Linked DNA regions of Caenorhabditis elegans. The protein of the gene in region 1 interacts with the protein of each later gene in a pairwise test. Each region holds a gene or a part of one and is shown on either strand. Other genes may lie near its edges. The genes, in order: cks-1 and C39D10.7.

The links.
Region 2: the proteins of cks-1 (region 1) and C39D10.7 interact in a two-hybrid assay, tested with the Caenorhabditis elegans proteins (2 studies listed by BioGRID).

Annotation. Positions count from the first base shown.
Region 1 is NC_003282.8:8,510,786-8,515,751, reverse strand, and holds cks-1 (Cyclin-dependent kinases regulatory subunit), read right to left. Parts: upstream 1,834-4,966; 5' UTR 1,803-1,833; coding exon 1,647-1,802; intron 1,533-1,646; coding exon 1,404-1,532; 3' UTR 1,027-1,403; downstream 1-1,026. Other genes in the region: C09G4.4 (uncharacterized protein), read right to left, coding at 1,986-2,112, 2,165-2,219, 2,275-2,329; Polycomb protein mes-6, read right to left, coding at 2,426-2,579, 2,691-3,050, 3,129-3,209, 3,393-3,577, 3,622-3,795, 3,836-4,066, 4,121-4,315. UniProt on the Caenorhabditis elegans protein: Binds to the catalytic subunit of the cyclin dependent kinases and is essential for their biological function. Has a role in the exit from M phase during early mitotic cell division.
Region 2 is NC_003284.9:7,906,873-7,916,552, forward strand, and holds C39D10.7 (Chitin-binding type-2 domain-containing protein), read right to left. Parts: upstream 7,059-9,680; coding exon 6,912-7,058; intron 5,904-6,911; coding exon 5,770-5,903; intron 5,715-5,769; coding exon 5,610-5,714; intron 5,557-5,609; coding exon 5,387-5,556; intron 5,342-5,386; coding exon 5,158-5,341; intron 5,087-5,157; coding exon 4,664-5,086; intron 4,487-4,663; coding exon 4,241-4,486; intron 4,195-4,240; coding exon 3,934-4,194; intron 3,293-3,933; coding exon 2,271-3,292; intron 2,217-2,270; coding exon 2,123-2,216; intron 2,019-2,122; coding exon 1,904-2,018; intron 1,859-1,903; coding exon 1,749-1,858; intron 1,703-1,748; coding exon 1,606-1,702; intron 1,558-1,605; coding exon 1,150-1,557; 3' UTR 1,094-1,149; downstream 1-1,093. Other genes in the region: C39D10.1 (uncharacterized protein), read left to right, coding at 92-247.

The DNA.
Region 1 (4,966 bases):
ATTTCCATTTATCTCATATTTCATATTGAGATCATTTGGAGAAATTGAAACTAGTGGCAGACCTCTTAATTGCCAGATTGATTTTTTATAAGTATAAAAATTCAGTTTGAATAATTTTAAATCTAAAAGATCCGCTTGAATTTTCAATTTAAAATTCGGGAAATGACTCTGTCTCGTGGCCCACTTGTGTATGTCACTTCTCTCCCCACACACATTCTTCACAATTATCGTTCGGTTCACTAAATATTCACAAAAACATAGACAAACCAAATAAAATAAAGTGTTTGCCTTTTCCAATGTTTTTTTCGAAAAAAAAAGCTAACAACATTCTGCCAAAATAAATGTTTTTTAAAACGTTCCATTGTTGTAGCCAATAACTTTGAAGAGTTTTCAATCGTGTGTTCGAAATGAATAAAGCAGACTAGGTTCACCTTTTTCCACTTACCGTAATCTTGGAGATCAAAAAGTGAGAAGACATTCTGGTCGTGACAAGACCCACTGATTGTGAGAAATAAACCTCTAAAGAAACATTTCACGATGAATATTTCCATAAAACATGAACAAAAAATTCCAAGCTATACCAAATGAAATAGCATTTGGAACTCAAAATAATTGCGATGCTCGATGGGATTTCCTTTTCAACAAAATTAGCTTTTGGCAGCATGCAAAGTGGATCATTGCATTGTTTTTGGGTTTTTTTGAAGGGTGTCCAAGATTTCTAATGAGCCGACGGAGCCTTCTTTTTAGTTTATGAGTTCTATTTTCATAGAACATTTGAAACATCTAATTGTGTAAATTAAAATTCTAAACAGGAAAAAACACATTTTCAAGGCAAATTTTTTACCATCTAACTTGACGAAAAAATATATCATTCAGAAGTCAGAGAACAAGTTCAATTCCCCTGTGAAGCTTCACCTGTTCGAACAGTCATCCAGCGTCAGGCTTCCCGCAGCGGCTTTACTAGTATCAAATTCAAGAAGACATGCGCAAGTTTATACTGAAACAGCTAAAAATAAAACGAAATTTCCATGCAGGTCAGTGTTTATTTATATATAAAAACACGAATACGTCGTTAAATATATTTGTAAAAAGGACCAAATTGAATATTGGCGAAAATTAAAAAGAGTGGCGAGTGGGGGACCATTTTACAAATATTTCAGATTGATTTAGAGGTGGCTCCCGTTGTCGTCTTATCAAATTGGATTTGAATTGAATTAAAACACGTTAAGAACGAGAAAAAGTGAATGGAGAGCTGATGATGGAAGAGGATAAAAATAATAACATTTTACATATCTTGAACAAGTTTCGTGTGTAAGGAGAACGAAAAGGAAAACGAGAATTTGGAAAAAAGAATGGGAAGGGAGCTAGAGATCCATATATGTGAAATGTGGATTTGAACAGTATTAGCGAACTCCAACAGCATTTCCAGAACGAACATTTCCTCCGGTTTTTTGTGTAGCTGCCAATGGTCTGCGGAAAAGAAGCACGTGACGCTCGGGTCCGTGAATCATGTAGTGCATCCATCCTGGGGACTGAAACAAAAACTTGAAGCTATGAAACGATGAGATAACTTATTCTGATGTCAGTTGAAATTATGTTCGCTTTTTCTTTTTTTCTTAAGGAAAAAACCTATTTTAAATATTTACCTGTTGAATTCCAAGACTTCTCCACTCTGTTTCGGACATCAATCGATTTTTTGGGATAAGCTTGGAAACATCCTTGGTGACATGAACGTGACGGTACTCGAACTCATCATCTTCGTATTTGTTTGAATAGTAGAAATCATTGTTTCCAGTTGTCATTTTGTTGGTTGGCGTGAGAAGGTGCGACTCTGAAATAATTCATTTTATTAACAAGCATCGGGAAATAGAAACGGACAAAAATAAGGAAAGAATAAAAAATATTGAAAAAAAAGAGAAGAATGGGAATGAGACAAGAGTGAGAATGGTGAGGAACACTGCATGTACAGACAAATCGATAAATGCTCATTGCTGACGCTGTCTGAATTGATCGATAACATCAACAGAGTCGAGTTTCCCGCGTGTTTCAAAATACTCGTCCTTTGACATTGGAATTTGACAGTGCTTGGTTGACCCAGCAGAGGAAGATGATCTGAAATAAAAAAGGTAATAACATGAAAGCTAATAAAATTTTCAAAACTCACTGAACATTCAAAAACGTCTTCTTTTTGTCACTTTGTAAGTTGCTGTCGACTGTCACTGAATTAGAAAAATTAGATAATCAGAAAACGAAAATAATCTCTTCGAAACTCACACATAAAGCTATGTTTAGGTGAAGAATAATCCTTAGAGGAGGTTGGGGATGACATTAGGAACTGCAAAATTGTAATGTAAAATCCACTGAAGATGATCGAAGATGAAATCACAACGAGATATAAAAAATTGAAGGTGAGAAGGAATGATATTCAAAATTTTGCCAGGTCCTTAGCGTCGACAGACGCAGATACACGATCAAATCGACAAACAAATCCTTCGTCAGTTACTAGTACTAGGAATCGGCCACATGTAGAGAAAGAAGCTTGCCGAACTGTACGTGAGCCAACGGAACAAGTGTGAGTCCTGTAAAAAAAAAAACAGGAATTTATACTGGTAATCACAGCAAAAATATTTCTATAATTTTTAAGAGATATCGAACATCTCAGAAATTATTTTTCTTGATATTTTACTTACGGATTGGTTTCTTCATTATTTCTCAAATCGAAAAACATCACAGAACCACCAGCTCCACCGCACACCAGCCATCGTCTTCTTGGATCAACGGCGAATTTGATAAACCATGCAGAACCACTCGGAACATTCATTGTACGAAATTTCGTTGTACACGACTTTGGACGGAGAACATTTCCATGAATGCGATTTTCAACTTCTCCCTTAGGTGGCCCAAATCTCCAAAAATGAATTGCCTTTTCATTGCCACATCCTTTTGATAGTGCGTAGTTAGTACCGATAAGAAATCGAATGCAATCCACATAATCAGAATGCATATCAGTTGATACGGAGGATGGAGTATAAATTGGAAGAAGGCAGCTCCTGAAAAAGAAGAAAACGATAGAACCAGATTCGTTGAAACAACTTTAAAAAAGTAATGGATGCCGAAAATCAACGTACGGTCGGGGTATGAGCTCTCTGTGAAGTTCGAGCAATTGATCTTCTTCTTTGTCGGGAATGTTGCGAGAAACTGCAGACTTTCTAAAAATACAAAAATGAATTACATTATGATTTGATAGCCCTGGTCTCTTTATTTACCAGTCTTTTATCCAAAACTCAAGTTTCAAAAATATTTTTATATACAACAACAGCAACAATTTTCGCGTTAAGGACTGATCAAATACTAGAAGGAACTAGAAAATGTTAGCTGAATAATTGATTTACCTCATTGTTCCTTTCGAAACATACGGAATATCTTGTGATTGTGTTAGCACATTTATTTTATCTTGGTGAAGAGCTTTGCACGCTCGTTCCAAATGTTCCTTTACTTGTTTCACAGATAAATCCCACTCCATGAGTTGATGATCGAATCCACACGATAAAATGAAGTCTCCGTCGGTTGACCAATCCTAAAATGAGAAATTCGAAACGTAAGTAAATTTAATAAACCAACCACAGAAAGAATTGTTCCAGCATGACACTCGAGACCCCCAATAACAATCAGACATGCTTCGTTTCGAATATGATGAATCCGGATAGATTGATCTGATGAAGCACAGACAATCAGATTTGAGTTGGCAGGACACGTACGAATGTCATTGATTTCCCATCCAACACTCCGAAGACGCTAAAACTCCAAATTATTTCAGTAATTTTTGATTATTTACATTCGACAGCTTCCTCGAGACGTAGTCGATAACGTAAATGTGACCCAAAGTTCCACCCGTTACAACTTTAAAGGGATTTCGGTCGTTTTCAGCTTCATATGTGTCGTAACACCAGGTAACAGTGAAGAGCGACTCCTCTCGTTCGACCTTTGATGATTTATCGGTAGGAAAATTACAAGACCACTGCAGCTCAATGTTATTTATGTCGATGGGAACAGAATACATGTGAAGCTGAAAAACAAATATTTATACCTCATTGTCAGTTTCCTGCTAAATAACGCTTACAAAGCTTCCTCCGACAGTTGCAACCGCTTGTTCCTCATCTATTCCTGCGTATTGATTGAATGCACATCCGTAAATAGCTTTCTTCTGATCTTCAAGTAGCTTGGCAGTTAGTACAAAAGGTCGTTTTCCGTAATCCTCTGTACTTCGATCAAACCCGTGAAGATTTAATGATTTGAACTTTTTCGTGTGCTCCATTCAGGTTTTTGGGAAAAAGGCAAGAAACAATATATAACAAAATAAAAACTTCACAGTAAAAACATAAAAAAGTCGATTAACTATCAAATTTGCAGTGAAAAAGGAAAAAAATGACAATAAAAACAACAGAAAAACTAAAATATGGCCGCTCGCGCGCATTTCTCGTTCAAATTGCATTAGTGGTGAAAAGCGCGGCGAGACCCAACGAGCGCATAACCTCATGCACCTTTAAAGTGTTATTTTTTTATTACAATTTTTTGTTCTCATTTTGGATTCTGTTCGAAAGTTCCGGGAGGTATTTGTGATTTCGATTGGGAATATGATAGAAAAGACAGTTGCCAGCTTAAATTTTGTATTGTCGTGAAGTACCACTTCCAATTTCGGAGTGGATTCGAACGGGATTAAGTAGATTTTGTACTCGGCTTTTTTCGCAAGGAGCGAAACTAATAATTTTGTATATTTTTTTTGTATGATCCTATATTGCTACGTGAGCTATTGTCAGTTAAAAAAAATGTTTTTGTGGTCTTTTTCAGATTTCAGAGCGATCAACTTGGGGGTATTCATTCATATTTATTATTTAGTAAAATTGTCCTTATATCAAAAGATCCACTTTGTGAATTCCGTAGACTTCTTTCATTTTTGCTATTTCGA
Region 2 (9,680 bases), on another chromosome or scaffold:
TAAAGTTACTGCACTTTTCGGAGGAGCAAAATCTCAAATCCAGGAATTTGTTAGATCGATTTGGTTGGTCATTGTTGGAATCTTGGCATTCATGACTACTGGAAAAGATGATGTTGATACCACCACCACTCAAAACATGATCTTCACTTCGCCAGTCAATGTCGATCTCGAATCCTGCTCGGCTGATCGAGTCACGGCTGCGTCCGCACCTGCCGATGAAAAGAAGATTTCCTCTAATCAAATCTAAAATATTTCCCATTCGCTTTTCAATTGTTGAAAATTGTTATCAAATACTTGATAACAAAGAATGATCTATTAATAAGAATATTCAGAAAAATATGGAGTGAAAAATACTCAAAAAAAAAGATTGAAATTTCTTTTGCCAATCAATTTGTTTGTGTTCCACAAAATACTTTCCCGCTTCCGTGTTGATATATTCAATTAGACGTTCGGGTAACTGTAAAATCTTAAATATACATTTGAGAAAAATGTTTCAATACTGTTTAGCATTTGTCGTTTAATAGCGATTAACGAAACTCCAAACTTGGAAATCTTAGATGATCTCTCAAAAATGTGGAAATTTTCAGAACCTTAAAAAATATTGTTCACTTTTTTATGCTGATTCATGGCGTCTCAAATCTTTTCTAATGGTTTTTTATCGGCTACTTTTTTGACGTTTCAATTATTTTTTAAAGCTTTTTAAAACCAAAAAATGTAAAATGAAGAAAATTCTGTAACTCATTTTATTTCTGAGCTCATGAAAGTGGAATTTAATTCTAAAAGAATAGAGAACATATATTTTTAGATTAGACTTGTCTCATCAAAAAAATTAAAGTTTTAAAAACCTAGAAAATATGTTTATCTCTGCAGAAAAGGTATAGAAATTATAGAAATATTATAACAATATAGTTCAGTGTCTTTATTGGCGTAATATCAAAATGATTTTTTTAACCTGAGAATTTGAAAATTATGCTATCGTTTTTAGACAAAAAAAATATTTTTTAAGATACACATGTACCGTGTTTTATATTTATACATGGCAGTTTGCTGTCCCAATTTAAATGTTTAATGCTTCAAAACTCTTTTTTTCTAAATATAATAATTCATTGAAAACTCAAAAAAGACGTAAGGCAAAAATAAGTGTATATATTAATATGACTTATACGCAGAACTTGTAGTTGGGGCCACATATGAAGCTGTAGTAGTTGTGGTTGCATCTTGTGCTTCAGTGGTTGTCTCGTACGGTTTGTGAGTAGTGGTGGTTGGAGTCTCTACATCGCGAGAGGGAGTTGTTGCTGGTTCTTCATACTGTGTAGCGGTGGTGGTATATGCAGCTTTGTAGAGAACCTTTCCAGTAGTCGTTGTTTGAGGTTGATACGGGGCTGCAGTCGTGGTTGGAGCTGGCTGCTCAAATCTTTTGGTGGTGTAAGTTGTGTAACTAGATGTGACTTCAGCAACTGGAGGTATGTAATCATTGCCACAGTCCTTATTGGTGCTCTTATAATTACAAGTTTGCGTGTCCCCATTGTACACCAATGGAGCAATACAAGTTCCAGACTGAAAAGCATATATTATTTTTGAATGTATATATTTTAATAAACTCACAAAGGCTCTTCCGTTGTCACAGACAATGTAATGTGGGGAGCACATTTTGAGGTGGTGGAGTCCGTTAGATCTGATCGTGCAGAAATCACTTGGCACTCTGAAAGTAAATGTTTCATCAGAGCAGTAACATGACAAAATCTTACGCTGGAGGTGTTCTGTCTAGAGTGGTTGCAATTGAGCATTCCTTTGCGTCAATTGGGAATACACACTTTTCGGATTCCTTGGAGAATTTGAGACTGTTCGGGCAGCTCATCTAAAAAATTTTGCGAAATACTGAACAACATTAATCGGAACATACCTTACGAATCTGTTCATCAATGCAGGAAAAGTAATATGAGGAGCACCCAGCAGAGTAATAACCATCTGATTTTCCAAAACAAGCATTCGAATCGATTATGTCAGATCCTTTGCCGCTAAAATTATTAAAATGAAAGTTGAAAGTTCTTTAAAAAACTAAGTTCATTAGGTACGATTACATTAATCCACCACATCAAATTCAGTACTCCGATATGCTTACATTTTGCATGTATCCACGGTGTGTTTGTAAGCACACATTCCATTCTTTTCGTTGTAAAAAAGTCCGGGGGCACATGAGGAAATAAGTGAACGACCTGCAATTAATAATTGCTTACTTTCAGATAACTTGTGATTTTGCACAGTCTAACCTTGCATGCATTGAACGTAGTCTTGTGAGCAGTACGGAAGAGCATAGATTCCATCAGGACGTCCGGAGCAGGAGAACGCCTTTGCCAACGGTGTGGTGTCTACTGGTCCTGGAGTTGTGGAGGTGTAATCAATGTTTGGGTAGTTGTAAGTTGTATATTTTGTCGTGCCTGGTTGCTCTGCTGCTGGTGTTGTAGAAGGAGTTGGCTTGTATTCTGGGCAATCTTCGACATGCTCCTTGTAGTCACATCGATTGTTCAATTTGCTGTAAAACAATCCTGCGGGGCAACGATTAATTGTAGTCTCAAAGTTGTTGCACGAGATGTAATAGTCCTCACAATCAAGACCGTAGTTTCCATTTTCGAGTCTTTCACAGAAAGCAGCATGCTGTGGCGATGGAGTGGTCACGGATGGATTGTACGCTTTGGTGGTGCTTTGAGAGTATCCATAGTTTTGATATGAAATGACTGGTTGCTCGGCAGCTGGTGTTGCGTCTGTAGTTGGTTTGTACTCTGGACATCCCTCCACATTTTCCTTCACGTCACATTTATCTTGTAGACGACTGTAGTACAATCCTGACGGGCAAGGGAACTTGAATGTTTTACGATTGTAGCATTTGATCAAGTATTTTTCGCAGTCAAATCCATAGTTTCCATCATCACGTTTTGCACACATTGCAGCGTATTTTGGGGATAGAGTTGTTGTGAAGATTGTTGATGTGTATTGTGGTGCGTACCCTGGAGTAACCGGAGTATATTCAATTGGAGCATATCCTTGGGTGGTACTTGGTTGTTCATATGGTTTGCTGGTAGTTTTAGGGTAGGAGTATGATGGAGTGGTGGTTGGTTGGTACCCTTGACAATCTCGGACATTCGTACTGTAATCACATTCTCCGACATATGGATTGAAGATCAGATTTGCTGGACATGTAGTTGCAACGACTTGTCCGTTTGCGCAAATGTAGAATACGCTCTTGCAGAGACCAGAGGCATGGTTTCCATCAGCGAGGTGTTTGCAGGAAAAGCTGGAAAGTATAATTATAACTGGAACACTTTTGACAAAAATGTTGTAAGCTCTTAGGGGGAATTTTTGTTTGAAATAGATTAAAATGGTTTCCGCTGCTTAACCTAAAACATTAATTGAAAAACCTTTAAAAAAATTTTCCTTGAAATTATACAATATACTTCTTACTTTTAAATTGGATAAAATTCGTAATTGAACAATATCTCAAATTTTTTGCCGCTTTTTTAAATCAGATTTCAGCTATTTGCATAATCTCAGATAGTCTCAAATTATTTGAAAAAAATAAACTAGAACATTAAAAATAACACAGCTGTGTCTTTACACATTAGAAGTTTTCCAACTAAAGGAACGCAATTTTTGTCGGAAACTGTCTGATTGAGAAAATTTCTAAAAACTTTCATTCAGTTTCCAAGATGTTTGTTAAATTTCAAATACCTCCAATAGCATTTTTGTGACAGACACTGTCATTGAAGATATTTTATGAATCTAATTCCTTGAAAAAACTGGAAAAAGTTAGATGTCTATTTCAGGAACTCCCAATTGAGTAAAATTGAGTAAAAATTGAGTAAAAAAAAGCTGCTAAAATTTTTATAGTGATCTAGTCCAAAGAGGGAGTTTTTTCCTTGAAATTAAAAAACTCACTCGTCCAAAGCAATTGTAGTTGTGACTGGAGCCTGAGTAGTGTATGTAGCTTTTGGTTGTTCATATCCAACAGTGGTCGGAGCCTTGGTGTAAATTGGACGTCCGTAAATCGTTGATGGCCGTTCAGTGTCTCTTGGTGGCTGTGTGTACGGCTTTGTTGCTGGTTGTTCAGTGGTTGTGTACACTACGGACGACGAGTATCCAATTGTAGTAGTTGGAGTGTCTTCACCTTTGTAAATTTGAGATGGTTCCATGTAGTTTCTGAAATTTTGATTTTATAACTTTTCAAACAATTTGAGATTGGTACTTTTCACAGTTTTCAGCAAAATCACAGGTGCCAGTAGCTTTGTTAAAGACTAGATCGCCAGGACAGTCATTCGCAAAAGCTCTTCCATCGTGACAAGTGAAGAAGCTTTTGGTGCATGCTTCCTTGATGTACTTTCCGTTTGGTTTTCCGGTACAGTCAAAGTCTACTTTCACTTCAGCTGGTCTCTCGTTATAGGCTCCTCCGTGATTGTAAAGAACAGGTACATCTTCTGGTTTTCGTGGCTCTCTAAATTTTGTTTTTAGATTTGACTTATTTATATCATATTTATGAGAAGATTATTACGAAAGTAAATCAACTTCCGATTCAGATTTTTTCTTGAGTAAACCTTATGACAGGGAAACTGACAAAAACTCCAAACCTATACAGTAACAAATTTCAATTTGAAATGAATATTCAACTTACAGACAAATTGCTGCGAATTCGCAAGCTGACACTCTTGTGTCGAATACAAGATTATCCGCGCATTGAATAACCCGACCAACTCCGTTGTCACAACTCAAAAATGATGCGTGGCACTCTTTGATTCCAAAGATTCCGTCTCTATTTTTGCAATCTCCGTGTACTGCTGGATTGTATCTGACTGTTGAAGAGAAGACAGGTGAAGGTGTAGCTTCAGTTGGAACATATGGGGCAGCAGTTGGATTTTGTGGTGGTGGATTTGGTGGAGCTGCTGATGTCGAGCGTGGGACGTAGGTTGTTCTTGGTGGGGAATAGACTGGCGCGGAAGCTGGAGCATATGGGGTTGGATCCACTGGAGCTTCAGCAATTGACCCATAAGAAGAAGAAGAAGTAGTGGTTTTTGGTGCTCTATACGAAGTTTCGGAGCTGAAATAAATTACCCAAAAGTAAGTTTTGTTAAGTTTTCTTCATTTACACAACAAATTTGATCAACTCACCCGTTATATTCTGGACAATCTTTCACAGACTCTGGAAAGTCACACAGGTTTTGGTCCAAAACGTAGATTAGCTTTTCTGGACAAGTTTTTCTGAACAGCTTTCCATTCGAACACTGCCAGAAATATGGGGAACACTTCACGTTATCAGTGAAATGCATGTCTCCAGTAACTTTACAGTCCAATCCTTAAATAAACATTTTTAATGATAATAATACTAGTAAGGCCGAACCATTGTGCCCATTTTCAAATTCTTTGGTAGTGACGATGTAGTTATCCGAATCATATGTTGGTGAAGCATAGGCAGCAGCTGCTTGATCTTTAACTCCTCCAGAAGCATTACAGTTGGTGTGGTAATCGCATCGCTTGAGAATTGGAACGTATACTTGCTGGTATGGACACCTTCAAATTGATTATGTGTTTTCTTTAATAAGTTTTCTGCACTTGAAACTAACTTTCTCATGTAAGATATTCCATTTGCACACTGATAATAGTTTTCATTACACACAGTCTTGTCCAGTGCATAATCCCCACTAAGTCTGCCCACACAATTTATCGAACTGAAATTTTTCAATTAAAATATTTCAGAAAAAATAATTTTCCAATAAAACTCACACGGCCTTTTGGCGGACATTGAGTGTTACACGATCACCTGTGGCACAGAGATGGTTGCTAGAACGACGCTCACAACGTGCTAATAAGCGGTCAAAATAAAGACCCTCTGGGCATGACTGCTCATATTCAACATTCTGAAAATTATATAAAAAATTTTAATTAAATTCAGATTTATGGTTTAAACATTCCCTTACAATAGTTTTCCATTACTTTGAAGTGGTCTCAAAAGAAATAAGAAAAGAAAATAAATATTTGTTTCATTAAAAAATGGTATCAGCTAGAGATGCGTATGGGTCGTAATGGGTCGACTCGCCTATTTCACAGTTATTCTTTTTTTTCTCACAATGGCTCGCTTTTTGTCGCTTTTTTTTCATTTTCAAAGTATCATGAAAATTTTCGAGCTAAAAAAATTTGGTATTATCTTTAAAATTCGAAAATTTGAATTGCAAATTTTTATGACTGTTCTATTGCAAAATATGTGACGTGAAAGGTACAAATATTGCAAATCGTTATAGTATATTTTTTAAAGATGTAAGTTGAAAAATTTAATGTCTGACTTTGGCATGAAATAGTATTTTTTCGATAAAATAATGAAAATAATGATCCCTCCAAAAAATTTAGCTGCCCCGATCCAGGTTCAGCAAAGTTATGACGTTTTGAAAGTGACTAAAACACCTTTTTACAAAATTTCAAAATTTTCAAAAAAAAAACATTTTTTTCTAAAAAGAGGAAAAAATGTTTGCAAGTTGTTTTAGCTCACAACTCTCAAGAAAACCCACAAACTAATCTACCAGAAAAAGTACTTTTTGGAATTTTGCTCAAGGTATGTGGTTTTTTGTCCGTGGTGAGAAAAAACGTGTATGATATATGCTTTTCACTGTTTTGGATAAGTTAAAACAGTTTTTATCGATTTTCAGAAAACAATTTTTTTTTTTGAAATTTTAAAAGTTTTTTTTTTGGTAGGTCAAGAAATTTTTTCGGCACTTTCAAAACATCATAACTTTGCTAAACCTGGACCGGGGCAGCTAAATTTTTTGGAGGGATCATTATTATCACTCTTTTATCGAAAAAATACTATGTCATGCCAAAGTCAGACATTAAGTTTATCGACTTCCCTTGTAAAGCTCCAAAAGAAAACTCACGTTGACACACTGAAGATACTTTGAGCTGCAACCAACAGCATAAAGCCCGTCACCATCCGGGCATGGTGGTCCTTTCGGGTTCAGAACATTTTTGGCGTCCGCCGAGATGAGGATGACAGCCGCCGCAAATATTGAAAGCTGTCGCATCTAAAAAATAAAAAGAAAATTGCGAGAAGAAAATTTGAAAGAAATGTGAATGATTGTTTATCTGAAACACAATGCTTTTATATTGTCAATCTGTTCTGTCTTGGATGGTGGGCGGATTTTGTTCTGCTCTTATTGATAAAAAGCTAGAAAACCTGTAGATTGGAATTCAGATATTGATCAAAAGCCCAATCCATCAGATATTTATTAATAAATAAAAGAATATCAAGCACTAAAAAAGAAAAATGAATCAACGAAACATTCACATTCTTTTCTTTGCAAGTATAGTGTTCAATCTAGAAAGAATAAGTACCTCGAAAACTGAGATCTTATTTTATTTTCGTTTTTCCTTATGACAATCTCTAAGTTTACCGGGTGACCCGGAATGAACGAATTGACGTATCCAGTCAATAGTAATTACGAGATTATTGACTGTTTACCACAAGAAAACACGACTTGCAAATCGTGCAAAAGTTCGGACAGCCTTGGAAACGGATGATGTTCGATGCGCATGTGTTTTTGTAGAAAAAAAACGGATTAGAAAGATATTTCCGGAAACTATAGTATTTTTCTGGCATTGTCAAAATTAACCTGGTTGTAGAATAATTATATCTTCTTAAAAAGTACCTTATCGACGAAACAACATGAGATTTACAAACGAAATATTCAATAAAGTAGCGAATATAATTATAATTAATTGCTGAACATGTTCTGGGTAAGTTTTTTTTGAATCTCTAATATAACGATTAAAAACTGAATTTAACATAAAATCGTTTGTAGCCAAAAAGAGTAAATGTGAAATAGTAGTAACACAAATAATGTTTCAACCGTAATTTTCCTTCATAGTTTAACATGTTTCACTTAAAATTTTATTTTAACTATTTTTATTTACATTGTTAAATATCGCAACCAGTTAATTATCACGAGTGTTTATTCCAGGTTATTTAATTAGTCACACTAATCAATTTGAAACATACAATTTTAAAATAATCAATCTGCATTATTCAATTCGCATACCCTTCTCGAAACAGTTCTGACGTAGTGACCTCTTCGAGCCTCACCATTGCTCTTCTCGATCCCGCCCACAGTTGATATCTCTTATCATTTGAATCTTCCGGCAGCATTTGTCCTGGAAGAAAAATGTTCATTTCCTGATGGGAAAATTTTCAAGCGAGAACAACTATTGCACAATCTGTGATATTCTAACATTTTCCGCATTGCTGTCAAAAATGATATCACTTATAAGAAGTATGAGTATACATGAAATCATTAATTCCATTCCAGGTGAGATGGAAGTTGAAACAGAATTAGAAATTAAAGAAACGTTATATATTTGGAAATTATTCATAGTCTTGTTACAATTAAAAATTAAAAAAAACTGTCTGTTTTCTAGACTACAATAAAAGAAAATGAGACTTTTTTTCGAAAAATAAAAAAGTTTGAAAATACATTCAATTTGTTAATGTATGAAAACGTATTTGAAACTGCTTTACTAAATTCAATAGGGTATTTATTTCAGCTAAAAATTCAATATATAACCTCAACTAGTGTCAAAAATATGTCTTAAAAAATGTTTCTTAAAAAAAACAACTTCCATCCAGTTTCTCTTCGAATTTTTCAATTCATTTTATAAATTTATTCAACTTTAATTGTTAAGTTTGTAATATAGAATTATACATCTACAGTTATTTTTACTTTAAAACGTTCATTGTCGTGCCGAAATGACAACTCAATATTATTGGATTATCAACCATCTTAGAATATCTTAAATGATATAATATAAGCATATTCTACCAAACATCCAGCGTAATTATCATTCCTGTACGTTTGACCCCTTCCAATTGGTAGAAGACAGGTCACACCATGTGGTATTACTTTCCAGCTGCTGCTGACGTCATGTTTGCTACGTCACGGGCCACGTAAGTAACCCAGGCCGCACAAGAATAAATATACTTGCATCATTTTGCACCAATTGAGAAATTGCTCCGATAATTATATTTGAATTTAAACCCCCGATTTTCTTTTTCAGAAAAGCAACTTTAAAAGCAGAGTAGGCCACAATTACCAAAGTATTAGATTTATAAAATCTAAAAATGTCAAATTTAACAAGATTATATAAAATCACATCAGATTTCAAATCAGTTGATCCCTTTTCTGTTCAAAATTCACTCTTATTCTTGAAATTTTATGAAAGGTCATTTCCTTATAAATTGCGTGCCAATTTTGCGACTACAAGCCGAAAAATGCGTAAATTTTCGAAATTCCTGTTCGCGCAAGACTTCACTTTACCTCGAATATCTTTGTTTCTCATTGACAAATGGATTTCAATGACGTCATGAGGTTGCATAAGTGTACTTTTTCGCATATCCGTTTTAGTCGGTCGGGCAGAGAAGAAAGAGAAAAGCGTATGACTCATCTAGGTTATAGGTATGCAAGTGTTTCACAACATTTAGTTTGCATTATTAACAGTCGATGAAATTTTTAATGAGTTTTTTTGAATAAAACAACTTAATTTTTCTCATTAACCAAATAGTTAGCATTCATTCAAAAAGTCCCCCGTTCAAAAATTTATTCAACGTAAGAGTCAGTTCATTTCAGAAATGTTTGATTAAATAAACTGTTCAA